4 linked regions of the Oryzias latipes genome follow. The protein of the gene in region 4 purifies or fractionates together with the protein of the main gene of each other region. This does not show direct contact. Links are inferred from orthologs where the notes say so. Each region holds a gene or a part of one and is shown on either strand. Other genes may lie near its edges. The genes, in order: dhx8, ppie, ccdc12 and crnkl1.

Evidence for each region.
Region 1: the proteins of crnkl1 (region 4) and dhx8 purify together in Homo sapiens (affinity purification with mass spectrometry; 3 studies listed by BioGRID and IntAct, counting the BioPlex papers as one, with this or other methods). This does not show direct contact. The link is inferred for Oryzias latipes from reciprocal best matches to the Homo sapiens genes CRNKL1 and DHX8.
Region 2: the proteins of crnkl1 (region 4) and ppie purify together in Homo sapiens (affinity purification with mass spectrometry; 3 studies listed by BioGRID and IntAct, counting the BioPlex papers as one, with this or other methods). This does not show direct contact. The link is inferred for Oryzias latipes from reciprocal best matches to the Homo sapiens genes CRNKL1 and PPIE.
Region 3: the proteins of crnkl1 (region 4) and ccdc12 purify together in Homo sapiens (co-immunoprecipitation; 3 studies listed by BioGRID and IntAct, with this or other methods). This does not show direct contact. The link is inferred for Oryzias latipes from reciprocal best matches to the Homo sapiens genes CRNKL1 and CCDC12.

Annotation. Positions count from the first base shown.
Region 1 is NC_019877.2:18,259,323-18,263,488, forward strand, and holds the start of dhx8 (ATP-dependent RNA helicase DHX8), read right to left. Parts: upstream 2,819-4,166; 5' UTR 2,756-2,818; coding exon 2,647-2,755; intron 2,132-2,646; coding exon 2,046-2,131; intron 1,960-2,045; coding exon 1,887-1,959; intron 1,746-1,886; coding exon 1,654-1,745; intron 1,561-1,653; coding exon 1,454-1,560; intron 535-1,453; coding exon 178-534; intron 69-177; coding exon 1-68.
Region 2 is NC_019880.2:16,796,589-16,800,602, forward strand, and holds the start of ppie (peptidyl-prolyl cis-trans isomerase E), read right to left. Parts: upstream 2,830-4,014; 5' UTR 2,760-2,829; coding exon 2,729-2,759; intron 2,409-2,728; coding exon 2,310-2,408; intron 2,221-2,309; coding exon 2,177-2,220; intron 1,892-2,176; coding exon 1,865-1,891; intron 1,794-1,864; coding exon 1,712-1,793; intron 1,630-1,711; coding exon 1,526-1,629; intron 762-1,525; coding exon 638-761; intron 1-637. UniProt on the Homo sapiens protein: Involved in pre-mRNA splicing as component of the spliceosome. Combines RNA-binding and PPIase activities.
Region 3 is NC_019874.2:16,703,445-16,707,440, reverse strand, and holds the start of ccdc12 (coiled-coil domain-containing protein 12), read left to right. Parts: upstream 1-1,180; 5' UTR 1,181-1,228; coding exon 1,229-1,312; intron 1,313-3,996.
Region 4 is NC_019882.2:16,307,181-16,311,483, reverse strand, and holds the start of crnkl1 (crooked neck-like protein 1), read right to left. Parts: upstream 2,850-4,303; 5' UTR 2,711-2,849; coding exon 2,663-2,710; intron 103-2,662; coding exon 1-102. Other genes in the region: cfap61 (cilia- and flagella-associated protein 61), read left to right, coding at 3,625-3,782, 3,997-4,147, 4,245-4,303. UniProt on the Homo sapiens protein: Involved in pre-mRNA splicing process. As a component of the minor spliceosome, involved in the splicing of U12-type introns in pre-mRNAs.

The sequences.
Region 1 (4,166 bases), on a different chromosome or scaffold from region 4:
CAGCCACATTGGCGACTCGTCCCTCTCTACGCAGCTCAGAGATGTGGACTAGTCCCTCCCACCGCTTCCTAAACCAGAAGAGTTCACAACACGAAGGCACAAGAGCAACAGACCAGGAAGGTCAGAAAAATCTTTGAAGTTATTCAGGGTAATTGATTTTTTAAACCCCACACTGACCTTAATCCCTCCAGTTGGACGAAACATCCAAACTGCATGATGCTGGTGATCTTGCCATTGTAGATGTCCCCAACAGAAGGTTCCTCTGGAGGGGGGCGGTCCACATGTTTGTCCTTCCAGCGGTCTCCATCCCTGTCCTGCTCCTTTCGGGGACTGGGGGAACGGTCACCCCAGCGGGAGGACTTCTCCCTTCGTTTGCCTCGGTCTCTATCTCTGTGGCGATCTCTGGAGCGAGATCTGGATCGAGATCGAGAACGATGGCGCCGCTTCTTGTCTCTATCTCGATCCCTGGCTCGGTCTCGGTCTCTGTGTCTGTCTCTGCTTCTACTTCTGCTGCGATGCCTGCTTTTATCCGACCTAAGATACATAATTGCAAGAAACTCAAAGTACATTCTACCCTGGAGAGGATCTCCCCAGTCAGCGTTTTCCAACCACGGTCAGAATCATGTCATTGCAGTTCATAGTGTATGTAACACATCGAATCTGTAAACACACTTAAAACAGCATCACCCGAATGTAAAAATCGGGTCTACAAGCAAAAAAAAAATGTGCAAGTTAAAATGTTTTTAATTTTTTCCAACCCAGTGTAAAATATTCAAAGTTTTTGGTTCCTGACAGCTAATAATTTTTCTTATTTTATAAAGCAATCACCTACATTGGTCAATTTTTATTTATTGTTACATAAAACCAATAAATGCATTTTGCAAAGAAATCTTTTTCTGGCTTTTTTATACTGAAAAAATACCGAAAATGTACCAGACTGAGCCCTATGAAATTCAGAACTAGAGCTGTGACGGTGTGGGATTGCGGTTAACTGATGATTTTAGGTGTCACGTAAAAGCCACTGCGGCGAGCAACAAGCCCCATGCTCCGCTCCATTCTGCTACATTCCCTGGTGGACGACTAGATCCTCGTCGGAGCTGGTTTCTGGCCCAAAACTGGATAGCTCCAATAGATGGGTGACGAAGAGTGGGGGCGGGCTTGCTCAGTGCCAACAGTTTCAGCCCACAACTCAGAGTTAAATTTCTAATGAACTCCTGCTGCTCTGCACAAACTAAGTCCTCATATGACACAGATTTTTGGATTTTGGCTAAAAATATCATCATCATAATTAGAAAACTACTGGGAACGCTTTGAAACTATATCAAAAGAGGATCAGACTGGGACTTAAAAGACCTTTTAAGAATCTGTGGTCACACTGTTTACTGTTTCCATTTTACACAATAAAACAAACTTCTATACAAATGATTTTATTCTACAAAAATCAAAGTCTTACTTTGTCTTGCCCCCCTTGGACTCTGCCCCACTCACGCTGGGCATAAACATCTCAAGCTCTTTCATCGCATCAGCTGCTACTTTGACATCGTCCTCATCCAGGTGTTGCTAAAGTATTCAAACACCAAAAAAAAGTCAAATGTCAGCATTTTTTCATTAAAAAATGAATAAATAAAGTGATAAAATCCTTTCCCAACTTACTTTTGGTACAGGATCATCGGGTCTACAGAGTGCGGGGAACATCTCCTTTAGCCTGTCTTTCTCTGATTTGGGTTTGACAGATGCTTCTGAGACTGAAAGAGATAACACTTGCTTAGTTTAAACGAGAAGCAAACAAAATCACTATTTATGGATGACTGATCTGAACTATGTTTGGTATAAATATGCATATTAGCTGTTAAATCAGGAGAAAATGTTCCTCAGCATCAACATACCTTTACTCATTGATGCTTTGGATGGAGGTTGCATCGTCTGAATGAGTCTGAGCAAGTTGCTGATGAGAGAATCCTGAAAATCAAACAGCAAAACGAGGCGGTTTTCAACAGGAGCCACCGGAGAACGGGTCACAGGTCAGCGGCTGGAAGTGGACTTACTGTGAACTCGGCTCCATTTTCAAGTAAAACAGCTTTGAATCCATCAAAGGCTGGTTGTTTCTCAGCGAGGCTGATGACGAACTCAGCTGGGAAATGAGAAACAGAAGGTTTTTTCAACAAACACAAAAAAAGACCTGCAAATTTACTGGATTAATGAAAACGTTATATCAATTTATGAATATCTAAAAATGATTAATCCAATGAAGGCTTATTGAAAGATATTAGTTGTTGCTTTCTACGGGAGTCTTTGATGTGATCTGTAATTTGTTCATAGACTTAAACATTGACATTACTGTTTTTCGATCAATTAAAAATAAAAACTATTCAATATGCCACTGCGTGCCTGCTGCTGAAAAGAAACAAGCTAACTACATAGCTAGAAACGTATTTTAAAATAAACGAATATTCAATACGTAAGCTAGGTCATGCGCGCATGACGGTAACAGTATTCTTAACATGTTTAACTGTTGTTTGTATTCTTTAACAAGGAATAAACATTGGGATACGCTTTAGTTTGTTTACAGCCACATAACAGCTAGTTAGCCTAGCAAAAGCTAACTAGATGTTTTTAAACAATTCGGAGTGAGAAAAAAACACTCACCTAAATCCTTGTCGTTTATTCCTAAATGATTGTCGAGCTCCGTGCAAACCTTGGACACTAAAGACAAGTATTCGAGCTGCGACAGCTCTTCTAACCCAATGTCTGCCATCCTCCACGAGCCTTGTTTTTGTTCAGAGATCGTAGCAGACAGCGGACAGGTTAGATATTTAATCACTTCCGGAGTAAACGGAAATACGATCCTGGGGATTTGGTAGCTTATCATTTCCTGCTACACGATGGCGCCAAAGCTTCGATAAATAAAACCCATTAAAAGTTAAGGAAAGTGGTAAAAATAGAATAGTGAAAAAAATAAAAATAAACCCACCTGAAGAGTAAATTTAACTGCTGAAAGTATAGTTTTTTTCTATGGCAAATATTCTTTACGAGATATTCAGTGAAATAATAAGTTTAACTTTATATATTAGTATATGTTATTTCTCTACTTGCTTTAAAAGAATGCTTTTATCTGCTTTATCTCCTCTAATTTTATGTGGACTTTCAGTGTTGGGGTTTTGTAAAGACGGTTCAAAAGCAGGATGCCATGATGGGTTCAAGCCAAAGTAAACTAGCAGATCTTTGAGTATACTATCACATTGTAGTAACATTTTTATCCTTATGATAATATACCTTAAATTTGACACATGCTGTATTTTTTGACACATCAGAGCTATCCGGCTTTATGGGTTTAAAACTCTAGAAATTACACCTAAACTACTTTTCTGAGGCTTTTTTTTTTAAAGAAAATGATCTCAAACCAGAAAAATAAAAATTTTTAAAAAAGAAAATTGGACGGTTGAGAAAGTTGAGCATGCCAGGGACTTGCATTTGATCAATTACAGTGGCAATTCTGCATAACGTTGATCCCTCTAATGAGATTGTATGGATGCTTAGATTGCTCTAACCATGGTCTTCAGCTCTTCTGTGTTGTTGAACATCTGGTATCTCATATCTTCCTATTTTTTATAGCCCCGAACATTTACAGGATTTAGGTCAGGTGAGTCTTAATCAGTTTCAGGGATACCAGGCTCTCTAAACCAGGAACTGATATCCTTGACAGTGTGGGCAGAACTCAAATCAGCATCTCAATAATGCCGGTCAGCCATGAAAACCTTTGGGAAATAGCTGCTCTGACCTTGGATTGTACTGAACACGGCACAAATATCAGCCTGGGTTCACATAGTTATAATGATTTATTCAGTAGAAAAAATATTGAAAGGAAAACAGATTAAGGGCTTTTATAAATCCATATTGCATCTGGAGTGAAGATCACTTTTAATAGATAAATCTAAAATACTTCTGCAGGCCTAACATACTCTGAGCTGAAGCTGGGAAATGTGTCGCTAACAGTTACAAACCTCGGATGTGTACAGATCACATGTTACATGTACATGTGTGCCCTCGGAGGATTTCAGCTGTGAGATTAAATGAAACAAAACAGGGAACGAAAGAAAGACAGACATAAAAGACAAGTTTGTTTCTTTTGGAGCAAATTCCAAAGACTGCATGAGATGAGAGTCTAT
Region 2 (4,014 bases), on a different chromosome or scaffold from region 4:
TAATGTGTAGTTGTGGTTTTGCCATTTCTCTCCAACAGGGGTCTCGGTTATGTCATATATTGTAAGACCACAGCCCCAGACTAAAAAAAAAAATAGGATATGAAATCTCAATATGTTCAGGTCCTGTCTCAAATCAGAATTGGGGAGTAGGTTTATTTTTTATTATAAAAACAGAAAGAAAAACATTTTTTGAATAATTTATAAAGAATTTAGAAGACTGATATTATATTCAAAGTAAATAGAGTGTGCATCAGCAACCTCAAAGAGAGACTAAAGGACACAGTGGGGTTAAATGGTGTTTAGTCGGCTACCAATTGGTCAAGTTCTTCTACCTAAGAAGATGAGAGGCTGTCATTTTCATCATAGGTATACCTCAACTATGAGAAACAAAATTAGAAGAAAAAAAAAATCACATTTCTTGAGAATTTAATTGTAAATTATTGATTTTTTTCCTTCAATTTGTCTTTCATAGTTGAGGTATACCTATGATGAAAATGACAGGCTTCTCTCATCTTTTTAAGTGGGAGAGCTTGCACAATAGTAGCTGACTGAATACATTTTTGCCCCTACTGCAAATGTTTGCACTTTTTTAGAAGAATGTTAATATTTGCTTCATCTTTTGGTTGAGTGTGCAGACCTGCAGTCATCGGAACGATGTCCGCCCGCAGGAGGAAGCGCAGTCTTCCTGCTGCTTTGTTCCCAATCTTGATGTCCATGTAGACCTGTGGATTTACTCGGCTCTTTTTAGCCTGTGGCTCCCCCTGCAAAATCAGAAAAATGCATTTATCATATTTTTATTGCCTACACAAAGCCCTGCAAAAATGAATAAATAAATGAAAAATAGTCCTACAAATGTTTTTTTTTTTAACTTTATCTCTCAACCGTTATGGAAGTAATTTCTGCTCAAATGCTGTAAAGGATTTCTGATTCCCTTTGTTGTTCAAATGCGCCAAGACTTTCCAAATAAACCCACACACCCAGATAATTTACTCATTTAGTGCATTTAATAAGAAACCTGCTTCCTCCAGTGAATCAATTTTAATTCTAATTTTATTACTGTTATGCGAGTGATAAAGTTGGTTTCTCTAATTGGGAGAGTGGATCAATCAAACTAATCTAAATGAGGATTACTAAGAAAATGCAGATTTCTCTGGATTGTAAACACAAACCTGCTTTTTTGATGAGTCACGTTTTGATGTGTTTTTATATAAATTAGACAGATTTTCACTCCTGACATGACATTTCATCATTCACTGTACATTTTACACTCTTCATTTTTAGTCTTACACTGACGCAACAATATTTCACCAAAACCTGCTTTTCTCAGTGAAAAAATAAAATAAAGGCCCTCTAACGGGTCTGTACATTTAAATTTATTGAACTATACTCTAAAAATTAAGATTTAAAGAGAAAAAAAGATTGCTCATTTACTACATGTTTATGCAGTGACCTTATACCTTAAATATCTAGAATCTAATTCCCTGAATAAACTGAGTGTCCTGAAAACAAAACAAAAAGTTCTCACCTCCTGTGTTTTGCTGGGTGCCTCTCCTGCTGCTACCGCCTCAGCCTCGGCTTCCTCCAAGGTTTTCCCCGAAAACTTCTTCAGCCAGTCGTCATCCGACCACACTGAACACAAAAACAAGAGTTACAGGTCAAAACCACATCATAAAAAACAAAGCAGATTTTAAGAATCTTCTTCTATGATTACCTGGTCGAGAAGAACCCTCTTTGATTCTCATGGGCTTAGCGATGTTCACTCGGATAGTCCGTCCAAAAAGTTCAGACTCATTCTGGCAGCAAAAAAAAGCTACAATTTAAACCCAATCTTTTTAAAGAATAAGAAGAACTGTTAGTCACTTACCATGTTATCAATAGCTGCTGCTGCATCCTGAAGGAAAGACAGTGATGAGAAAGGGATGCATTCAAGAAAATAAAAGCTCACTTTTGTTAAAGATTCACCGATACAACTCTGGGTTATTTTCAAATTAATATGATCAAATCAAAGAGTTTGATTTGCACTTTAAAAAAAACAACAAATAAAAGTTTTTCTTGTTGGTTTGGTGAATCTATAACGTTTTTCAAGTGAATACCTTTTAAAAAATGAGTTTTCTGAATCCATCCTTTGTGCCATCAATAATTCAATTCAAAAGGAGAAAACTTTAAAAGCACAAACCTCTGCCAGCTCAAACTCAATGAACCCAAAGCCTCTGTGCTTTTCTAAAATGTAAGCACAAAAAATACTTAAATGATCAGGGTTTTTTTTTTGTTTTTTTGTTATATGATTATAAAATAAAACTTGATCTGACCTGTTTCATAATCCAGGGGTATCTGGATGTCTGTGATGTCTCCAAAGGGAATAAAGGCTGCGTGTAAAACCTTCTCATCCACCTCCTCCGCCAAACCACCTGGAGGAAGCAGCAGCGCAAACACTCAACACTCAATGCTTCATCTTCGTACTTTTGAATGAACACATCGTACATTAACCAGGATGTTAAAGTCGAAAACAGTGAGCTCTGTATGAGTTGGCTTAGCAGCATGTGATGGTTTCTATAAGACCGGAATACAACGTTGACTCGCCTTGGTTTTCCCCGCATAAATGGTAAAAAAAAGTTTTTATAGAAGGAATTAGCATAAAAGAGCTTTTAATTTCTGTTTTAGTTCAGAGTGGAGTGTAACTTGATCGGTCTGACATTCATAGTTAATTTAAAAAGTTATCATTACTTACCGACATACAGAACCCTTTTATTCGACGCCATATTGGATTCTAGATGTTGAACTTTAACCTCGGCCTCTGATTGGTGGAATCAAAAGGAAGCCCGCCTCTTCAACTATCCACAGCGCCCTCTATTGGTCATATTTAGGTCCAGCAACTGATCTATAGAGCCAATGACCGTCAATATGACTCTTTTCAAACACATTTGTGAAATGTGCCAGAGTTTTCAGATGAAAACAATCATATTTGTCGTTTTGGCTTTTTGTCTTTTTTGTTTTTTAAATGGAAATACCTAACTATGTTTTAAAAATAAAACAAAACAGCTCAGTGGTTTCAAATATAATATATACTTTATGTATCACAATAATTTTTGGACAGCTAAAATACACTAATGTTATGTAATTTTTGCTTTAGAGTTTTGTTGTTATAATGCTGCTAAATCCCTTTAAACTGTTTTTACTTTCAAATTATTTTTTATCTTATTGTTCCATAAATTTTCTGTATTTCTAAACTGATTTACTGTTGAGGGTTACCTGGCAGAGAAAGTGGGAAAAGGTTGAGAAGCACTGCTTTTAGTGACCCAGCAGTCCTCACCTTCTTCTTACGGAAACCCAACCATGTTTTAACTAAGGTTTTATACTTTTTATCTGAAACAAAACCCTAAGGGCACAATTTTACCCCACTCCCTTTGTAGCACTAGAGTTGTAAAGCACAATACATTGTGTTTCACTACAAACAATAACATTATAATTCACTGATGAAAGCTGTGTTTATGGCCGATTCAGAAGAACAGGTCAACAGCTAAAAAAGATCAACATTTTTAAATGTAAATTCTCACTTACAGAGAATTTTTGGTAGTTTGTTCCAAATGATACATCCAAACCATCCATTTCCCAAACCCATCGAATCTCGTTTGGTTTCACTCTGTTGCTGGAGCCTATCCCAGACACTGTTGGGCAAAAGGGGGGTGCACCCTGGACATGTCACCAGCCTGTCACAAGGCCACACACACTCACATTCACACCTAAGGGACAATTCAGAATTGAATCGGTTAGTTCAAAAGGGGCCCAAGTCCAAGAGGTTTTTTTTTCAGGAAATGATTTTAATTGCATAGCTTAAAGGGAGGCAACACCAAATGATTAATACTTTACCCAGATTTAGCACCAGCTCATAGCTTACAAATGCTATAATATGAAGCACCTCATTTTTATAATTTCAGAGGACTAGCAAACTAAAGTCTCTGGACTTGGGCACTTCTTGTATTAAACAGGGGCGTTGCCATATTGGATAACTAGTGC
Region 3 (3,996 bases), on a different chromosome or scaffold from region 4:
TTTGCCTTGACTAATATGTTATTATCTTTTGCACATTTCACCTATAAATAGGATACAATTTTCATGGCCAAGATTTAAATAATCATTTGTCTTTTGAGTCACGTTGTGACACTTAAGCAACATGTGATCCACATAAAACCAACCACTATACCATAATCGAAAAAGTAGTACCGAGGTTGTTTTGTTGTTATGATTGTTGTTGAGTGGGGGTTTGGATTTTTATAAGCTTTCACTTCTTCCATTCCCCTTTCAAATCTTATTTTCCAAGTCATGTATTGCCTTATATTTTCTTTTTCCAGGTAAATGTTGATTTGATTCCAAATAAACGTGTTACTTGCGAACACAGATCATATCCAAACATGTCTCATACCAGCATAGCTGGATGGGGATCTACTAAAAAAACTATTTTGTGTATAGGATCTTTGTTTAGGTAATTAACCATTAACACAAAGGTCAACTTTTGTGAGTGTTTTTGTTGTTTGCATCTTGGCAACTTCAAAATAAAACAAATAAAAGATGAAAAAAATATATGTATTTTACTTATATTATATAAAGGTTTGTGTTAGATATTTCAGATGGAGAACAATTATGTGCAACACCATTTTTTTCAGCTCTCTTTACTATGCACTGTATTAGGAAAATAGTGAAATCATATCTGCTTTGACTCAAAGAAATATAACCAAGAATTAAAAATTAATAATCACAAGTTTCAAGTTGTCCTCTTTATGACCATCTGCAAGACCTTTTTTTAGAATCGTTATCACAGCTGGGTGTGTCTTCACGCACTAGTGTTATTCATTTATAGGAGAATTGACATGAAGCGTGGAGCAGCTGTATTAATGTGGCCTTCATTCCCAAATAGGACCTGATACTGCAACCGTGAACAAAAAGGATGCTTGACCAGTGCAGTAAGACACCTATTCACTTTAATCATAATGTCATAAGTTGATCTAAAGGTAAAATGCTTATATATAAAGCGTTGGAAACCACAGTTAACAGAAAACAGATAAACCAACGCATTAAAAAAATCTGTTTTCTTTAACCTAATTTTACAGTAGATAATGTAAAATATATCATGAATTGGAATGAGCAAGACTGTAGAAAACTGAAAATATGAAGTCACGTGAACAAAACAGGACAGCTCAATCGATGTGTTCGGCGATTGTTTGTCCCCTACCAGTCCTACTAGAAGATTTCAGATGCAATCGAGTGGCGTGTGGAAACAAACATGGAGCAAAGTGTTGGGTCGCTTCAGGAACAAGCCCTCAAGAGGAAAGAAAGACTCAAAGCACTGAGAGATAAAAAGCTTCACGTAAGTTTCAGGCCTGCTGGCTGTTTCGTTTCTACTAGTTGGACGGAAACGACCACTTTCAGGCTAATGAATGACAGAGATGCTAACATTTAGCTCCAGAATTAGCACACTGAAGCTAACTCTGCTGCTTTTGACTCAATAAATTCATTAATAGACCCCATTTGTGGATTGCTTTAAGTATTTCAAGGCTAATGAGGTACAAAACAAATAATATACAATGTATATCGTGCTTGCTTCCCCCGGAATCGAAACTATATCAAATCAATAAACTCGCTAATTTAACTTGATTTCAGGAACACTTTTTTGGGCTCCACATTTTTTCCCTGACGGCCTCCTTGTTTATCTGTTGTGTAGTTACAGTCAGGCTGTCGATATCTCTTTGACTGAGGGCGCAGACCAGCAGGTTACTGAGATAAGACAAATGACCCTCTTTCTATAGTGACCTCTCACAACAAAAATGTTGTTTCTTCGCCATTTATTCATAAGTGCTGGAAAGAATTGTTTTCTAAGTTATAAATATAAAATCCAATATTTAGAAAACTGCATATAGTCAAGGACTGCAATAAGGATTTTACATTTACAGAAAAAAAATAATATTATGAGAGTTTTTGATAATTGTACATTTCAGTTTCTCTTCAGTGGGTTGTGGAAACAGGCTCTTGGGGGGTGAGGAGGTACTCCCAGATAGCTGGATAACTATAGCCAACGTGATCAGGGAGACAGGTAAGAGTTTACTTGGAGTGTCATCAGGGAAAAAAAGGTTGATAAGGAGACTTGGTGGTGGAATGAGGAGGCGCAGGAGTTTATACAAAGTAAGGGGCTATCTAAGAAGAAGTGGGACACTGAGAGGACTGAGGAGAGGAGACAGGAGTTCAGAGAGATGCAGCAGGTTGGGGTGATGAAGGATGGGAATGGTTATGTATTGACAGGTGTCAGTAGTGTGAATGGAAAGATGGGAAGAATTGATGAGAGGGAATAAAGAATAGAAGAGGTGACTGTTGTGAAGCACGACGTAAGATTAGTAAGGGTGAAGTGACGGGGGCATTAAAGAGGATGAAGAGTAGAAAGACACTTGGTCCTGATGTGATGATATATCTGTGGAGGTATTGAAGTGTCTTGCAGAGATGGCAGTAGAGTTTTGGACTGGGTTGTTAAACAGGATCTTTGGTGGTGAGATGATGCCTGAGGAACTGCGTAGGAGGGTCTAAGAACAGGGTTGTTTAGTTTAGTTAGTTCAGTTTAGAATCTTTCTATTGAATTGTGTGGGTTCATGATCCTTTTGATTTTATGTTTTACCCTACATTTATCTGCACAAAGCCCATCGAGACGACTGTGGTTGTGATTTTGGGCTATACAAATAAAATTGAATTGAATTGAATGGAGGAGAAGTGTGACGCTGCCCATATTTAAGAATAAGGGAGATGTGAAGAGTTGTTGCAGTCACAGATGAATAAAGCTGATGAGCCATACAATGAAGTTATGGGAAAGAGTAGATGAAGCTAGACTTGGAGCAGAAGGGAACATTTGTGAGCAGCAGTTTGGTTTCAGATGCAGTATGTGCTTTGAGGATGATAGAGAAGGTCAGAGGGAGCTACATGTGTCTTTGTAGATCTGGAGAAAGCTTATGACAGGGTGCCCAGAGAGGAACTATGGTAATGTCTGACGAGGTCTTGAGTGACAGAGAAGTGTGTTAGAGGAGTGCAGGACATGTATGAGGGCTTTCAGACAGAGGTGAGATTTACTGTTGGGGTGACAGAGGAGTTCAAGGTGGGGGTGGGATTACATCAGGGATCAGCTCTGAGCCCCTTCCTGTTTGCAATGCTGATGGACAGTGTGACAGATGAGGTTAGACAGGAAGCGCTATGGATTAAAGCCCCATTAGTTGTCATTCACTTAGGTGTGGGAATGTTGCTCTCCGCGTTTGACCCATCCCCTGGGGGAGCGGTGAGCTGCAGACACAGACGCCCAACTCCAACTGGTGTCAAGCAGGGAGGCATTGGGTCCCATTTTTAGAGTCTTTGGTATGATTCGGCCTGGATTTGAACACACAACCCTCCAATTTCAGGGCGGACACTCTACCATAAGGCCACTGAGCTGGATTATGATGTTTGTGGTTGGTATTGGGATTTGTAGTGAGAGCAGGGAACAGGTGAAGGAGAAGCTAGAGGTGGTGGTTTGCTCTGCAAAGGAGAGGAACGAAGGTCAGTTGCAGCTAGATGTTACAGGGAGAAGACATGAAGATGGTGGAGGATTTGAACTATCCAGGGTCAGAGTGTGGAAAAGAAGTGAAGAAGCGAATGCAGGGAGATTGGAATGGGTGGAGAAAAGTATCAGGTGTGATAGAAGAGTTTCAGCTCAAATCTGTGGTGAGACCAGCCATATTGTTCGGCCTAGAGACAGTAGCCTGAGAAAAAGACAGGAAGCAGAGCTGGTGGTAGCCGAGATGAAGATGCTGTTCTTCTCTTTAGTAGTGACAAGGATGGATTGGATCAGGAATGAGTAGATCAGAGGGACAGCGCATGTTGAAGGGTTTTGGAGATAAAGGCAGAGAGGCCAGACTGAGATGGTTTGGACGTGTGTCCAGAGACGGTGAACATAGGATGCTGAGTCCAGAGGAAGACCAAAGAGGTTTATGGATGCAGTGAATGAAGACATAAAGGTAGCTGGTGTTAGAGTAGAGGATG
Region 4 (4,303 bases):
CTGTTTCGGAGGTGGTGGCAGAAGTTCAAGCTCCCTTTCTTTGGCTTCTCTCAGCAGCTGCTCAGCTGTAATCTGCACATCTGCTGGGGCTTTGTTCTTCACCTAAAACGCAAAACACAGTCTTTACAAATGTTGCATATTCCCAGGTATCCTTATTTAAAATACATTATCAGTGGAAACATGTACATATAAGGTTTAATAACCGTGCTTTGCTAGTAAACTCCAAAATAAATACACATATTTCATTAAATACTTAATGATAAAAATAATAATAAATTGGACTTTTTTCGGTGTGTTCCAGAAGCTCAAAGCTCTTACAATGTGTCCATTGTTCATTCACTCCTCATACTTGGTGATGGTAGCTACTGTTGTAGCCACAGCCGCCCTGGGGCAGAATGACAGAGGCGTGTCGGCCAGGTCGTACCTAAGGCCCCTTTGACCATCACCGAGACATTCATACACATTATACCATGGTCCGGTTGAATACTCGATTCTGATTGGCTGCTGGGTATGCGTTAAAACCTGATAACCGCACGGTGAAAAAGAAGTTCCGGTCGGCTAGCTTAAATGATTTGTATCACTGCGCCGGCTTCTGTATAACAACCTTTTGCTTCATCATCGGGGCAAAAACAAGCGGTAAGAGGTGAACTTTCCCTCTGAATTGATGCTTTATTCAACCCATCGGGACGATCAGCATATATATTTATCGCCGAATCTTAACTGCAGCGGTGGTGCTGCGCGACGCGGACTATATGTTACGTGATGCGGCGCGATGCGCCGCATCACGTAACATATAGTACGCTGTTTATGAGAAAAGTGATACAAATCGAAAAAAAAAACAAGAATTAAGGACTAAAACCTGGTTAATATGTATTGCTTTTGTAAGTGACCATGGTATAAGCGGGTTAATGGCCTTCGAAGTGTGCGGTTACTACTTTTTAACGCACTTCGCGGAAGCAGGCTTCCACGGCGTGCGTTAAAAAGTAGTAACCGCACACTTCGTCGGCCATTAACCCTTACTTCACACACCAGTGGAGCAACACTGGAGGCAGGGAGGGTGAAGTGTCTTGCCCAAGGACACAATGCAACAAGTTTTAAGTGAGTTTCAGCATTTGGCAAAAAAACAGGAAATGGAAAAATGTGTTAATTTCAGTTCACCTCTGCAGTAAGTGTCAGCAATTCAATTCTCTAACTTTACCTAATTTAAAGTGAAAGAAATAGACAATCATAGACAAGTGAAAGAAATGTAAACCTGCTATAACTTGCTTGTGGTCACTGCACTGAAGGTTATGGCAAGCGTTGTTTGAATGGAGGTAAATATTTATCTGGTAAATTAAAGGAGACAAACCGAAGCGGCATAAATGGAAACCTTCAGCTTCGATTAACTAAGTTACGTAGTAATTTCGTTGAAAATATGTTCTTGCATTTGAAAAAAAGAGAAGCAAAAAGTGTATTTTTAAGACCATAGATTCCTTTTCAGTTTGCATTGCAGTGTCAATACAATAAGTACATTTTTGTTGTTGTTTTTTTATTGTTTTTACATGATCAAATCTTGGAAAGAAAAGTTGCTTAAATCACGACAGAGTTGCAACATTGCAGATTGAACATGTAGTTATCACAGTCCATAGAACATTTTACACAAAAATAAATAAATGCCAGGTTCATTATAAATATAAGTACAGTAAACTAGTTACTGGATGATAATGGTGAATGCTATACGTATGTGAGTTCTTTAGGCAAATCCAATATTGTTCCTTAAACAGGTTTTAAAATGAGTATTATGTCTATTCTACATCAAATAATACAACTTAAAATAAATGCCATAGTGTCACTTTAAGTTCAAGGAATAAGTCTAATTGAAAAAAGTGTATGTAAAAACACTTTGGGAAACAATCTGTTAGCAAAAACCTATATTAATGTAAATAATATTAAACGATTTATCTTCTAAATTATCCTTAAATATCACCCAGTAAAAAAAAAAAAAAACGCAATATATTTGTTGTTTCTCCCAAATGTATGGAATAAGTGCTCTTTCTGCCAGCGCCATGGTGAATATATTAGGCAAACATGTCTTTGTACATTGTCATGTTTTAATATTTCTGGCCTGATATAGTACACATATCTAAAGTAATGCCTGGGGAAATTGTTTTATTATCTCAACATAAAATATTTGTATTTCATAATTGTGTTTTCCAGTCAAACAACATATTCAACATGATAATAATTCTTGCAAAAACATTATAACTACAAGATGAAATTGATTTAAAAAAAAGGTTCCCCTTCTGTACAATTGTTTAAAAAATGATTTATAATTTTCTGTTTTGGAAAATGAATAAAGATTCGTCGCAAATTATTAAAACAATTAGCATATTGTTACATTTTAATTTAACTAAGCAGGTCACCATGTTGTTACTCTCTTTGTTAGAACTTTCAGAATAGTGTTAAATAAGTTTAGTTTTGAAAATTGTTCATTATAGTTTCTTATTGTAAAAATGTGAAAACGTTGTTGTTGCATTGTTACACATGTATTACACACTTTTTTTTTTAATGATTAAATAAAAAGCCAGCAATACTAAAAATGGGTGCCTTTGGGGGGAAAATGATTATTAGCATTAGCTTAGCGAAGCTGTTAAGAGAGCTTTGCTATTTCGTTCTCACTTACCTTAGCCACCTTTGGTATCCGCTGTTTTCCAGCAGCAGTAGAGGCCATATTGACTACTTAGCAAGTCAACAGTTTACGTTAAAATGCCAAGTTCAATTTCTAAAATGGTATACTGGTTAGTGACAACAACAAAATCGTTTGCTCGCTTGTTGCTCGGTGTGAGCGCCCATGACAGTACCCACAATTCATTTCTTTCTTTTAGCTTCCGGTTCCAACCTAGAAGTTCACGCCCGCTGTCGGCACCACGTGGACTGGAGTGTACAACGCAGAGAAGATCACGACATAGAATGCATTCTTATTAATGTTTAAAGAGAAATATTCTGAGTAACTTTATACAGATGCGTTTGCTTTTATCATCTGATTCTGAGTAAGAAAAATGTTGCTTTTTAGCTCTTTTGTGAATTGCACTTAGACCATTTTTTTATTATTTTGACATTTACAACAGAGTGATGATGTTTTTACCACTCAATAATTATAATAAATAAATAAATATTTTTTTTTTTGTAACCACTGTTTAGAATCTTAATTTGCTGATATCTTGAATATCTGACCAAGTGTCTGCAAATAGGTAATTTTGCAAAAACGTTTTATGTTAAATAGGAAAAAAAGCCAAGTTATTTTTTCCCTTGACAAATAACTTTATTTATTTATTTGTTTTCGTTTGTTTGTTTGTTTATTGTCCTTTGATAACCCACAATGCATTGGGCTACAAATGGTTCTACCCGCGCGGCGTCAGTTGCTGTGACAACTGCCCTTGAAAAAAAAAAAAAAAAAAAAAAACTTTCGGAGCTACTCTGTCATTCCACAGTTATTGAACAGTAAGTTGCAGCTAGTATGTGGATTGCTTTATCTAAAACAAGGAGTTAGTAAACCTTGTAGAAGAAAAAAAAGAAGAAGCTATTTTTACTCGTTTTTTGCTTATATCGCGACTTTTTTTCCCGGTTTTCTCCTGCTCTCACTAGATGATCATCATGAAATCTGAAACTTTAAACTGTCTAGCTGAGGACGCAAGCCGTCAAACTATCGTTGTAGGAGGTGGATCAGCAGACATTGAGTGGATTGAGAGCCTAACAACCTCCACAAGTCCAATTTTTGGAAGAGTCAACGTTGTTCAACTTGAGTAGGTCAATTGTATTTTAAAAACAAAAAATCTACAGACTTGTAGCCTATGGTGTCTTTGACATTTAATCCCATACAGTCAGTGTTTAAAGACCATGGTAATTTGAAAGAAAGAGTAAACATGTATTTGCTTTTGATGATAAATTATTAACTTAAGTTATTTATTTTTATAAAATAATTTTGCTTTTTTTTGTCTTTTGGGATCTTCCTTGTAGAGACAAAGCCAGCTTCGCCCTGACAGTGGTCAATGAAAACCAGGACATTGTGGCCCATGCTGTCTTCGTCGATCATCCCATTGGAGACTTGGTGGATCAGGCCCAGTGGGAACAGTTTCTGCACAAACACTTCAGCTCCCCACAATGCACAGTTTGCGTCACTTATTTAATCATCTCTTTAAACATAAATGTTTTAAAAAAGACTAATTATGTTGCGGTTCTGTCTTAAATATGTTTAATTTTTGCAGTCTTTGAATACACTGTTCCTTCACCTTTTTGTGGCACGAGAAGATTTTGCCACCACTAC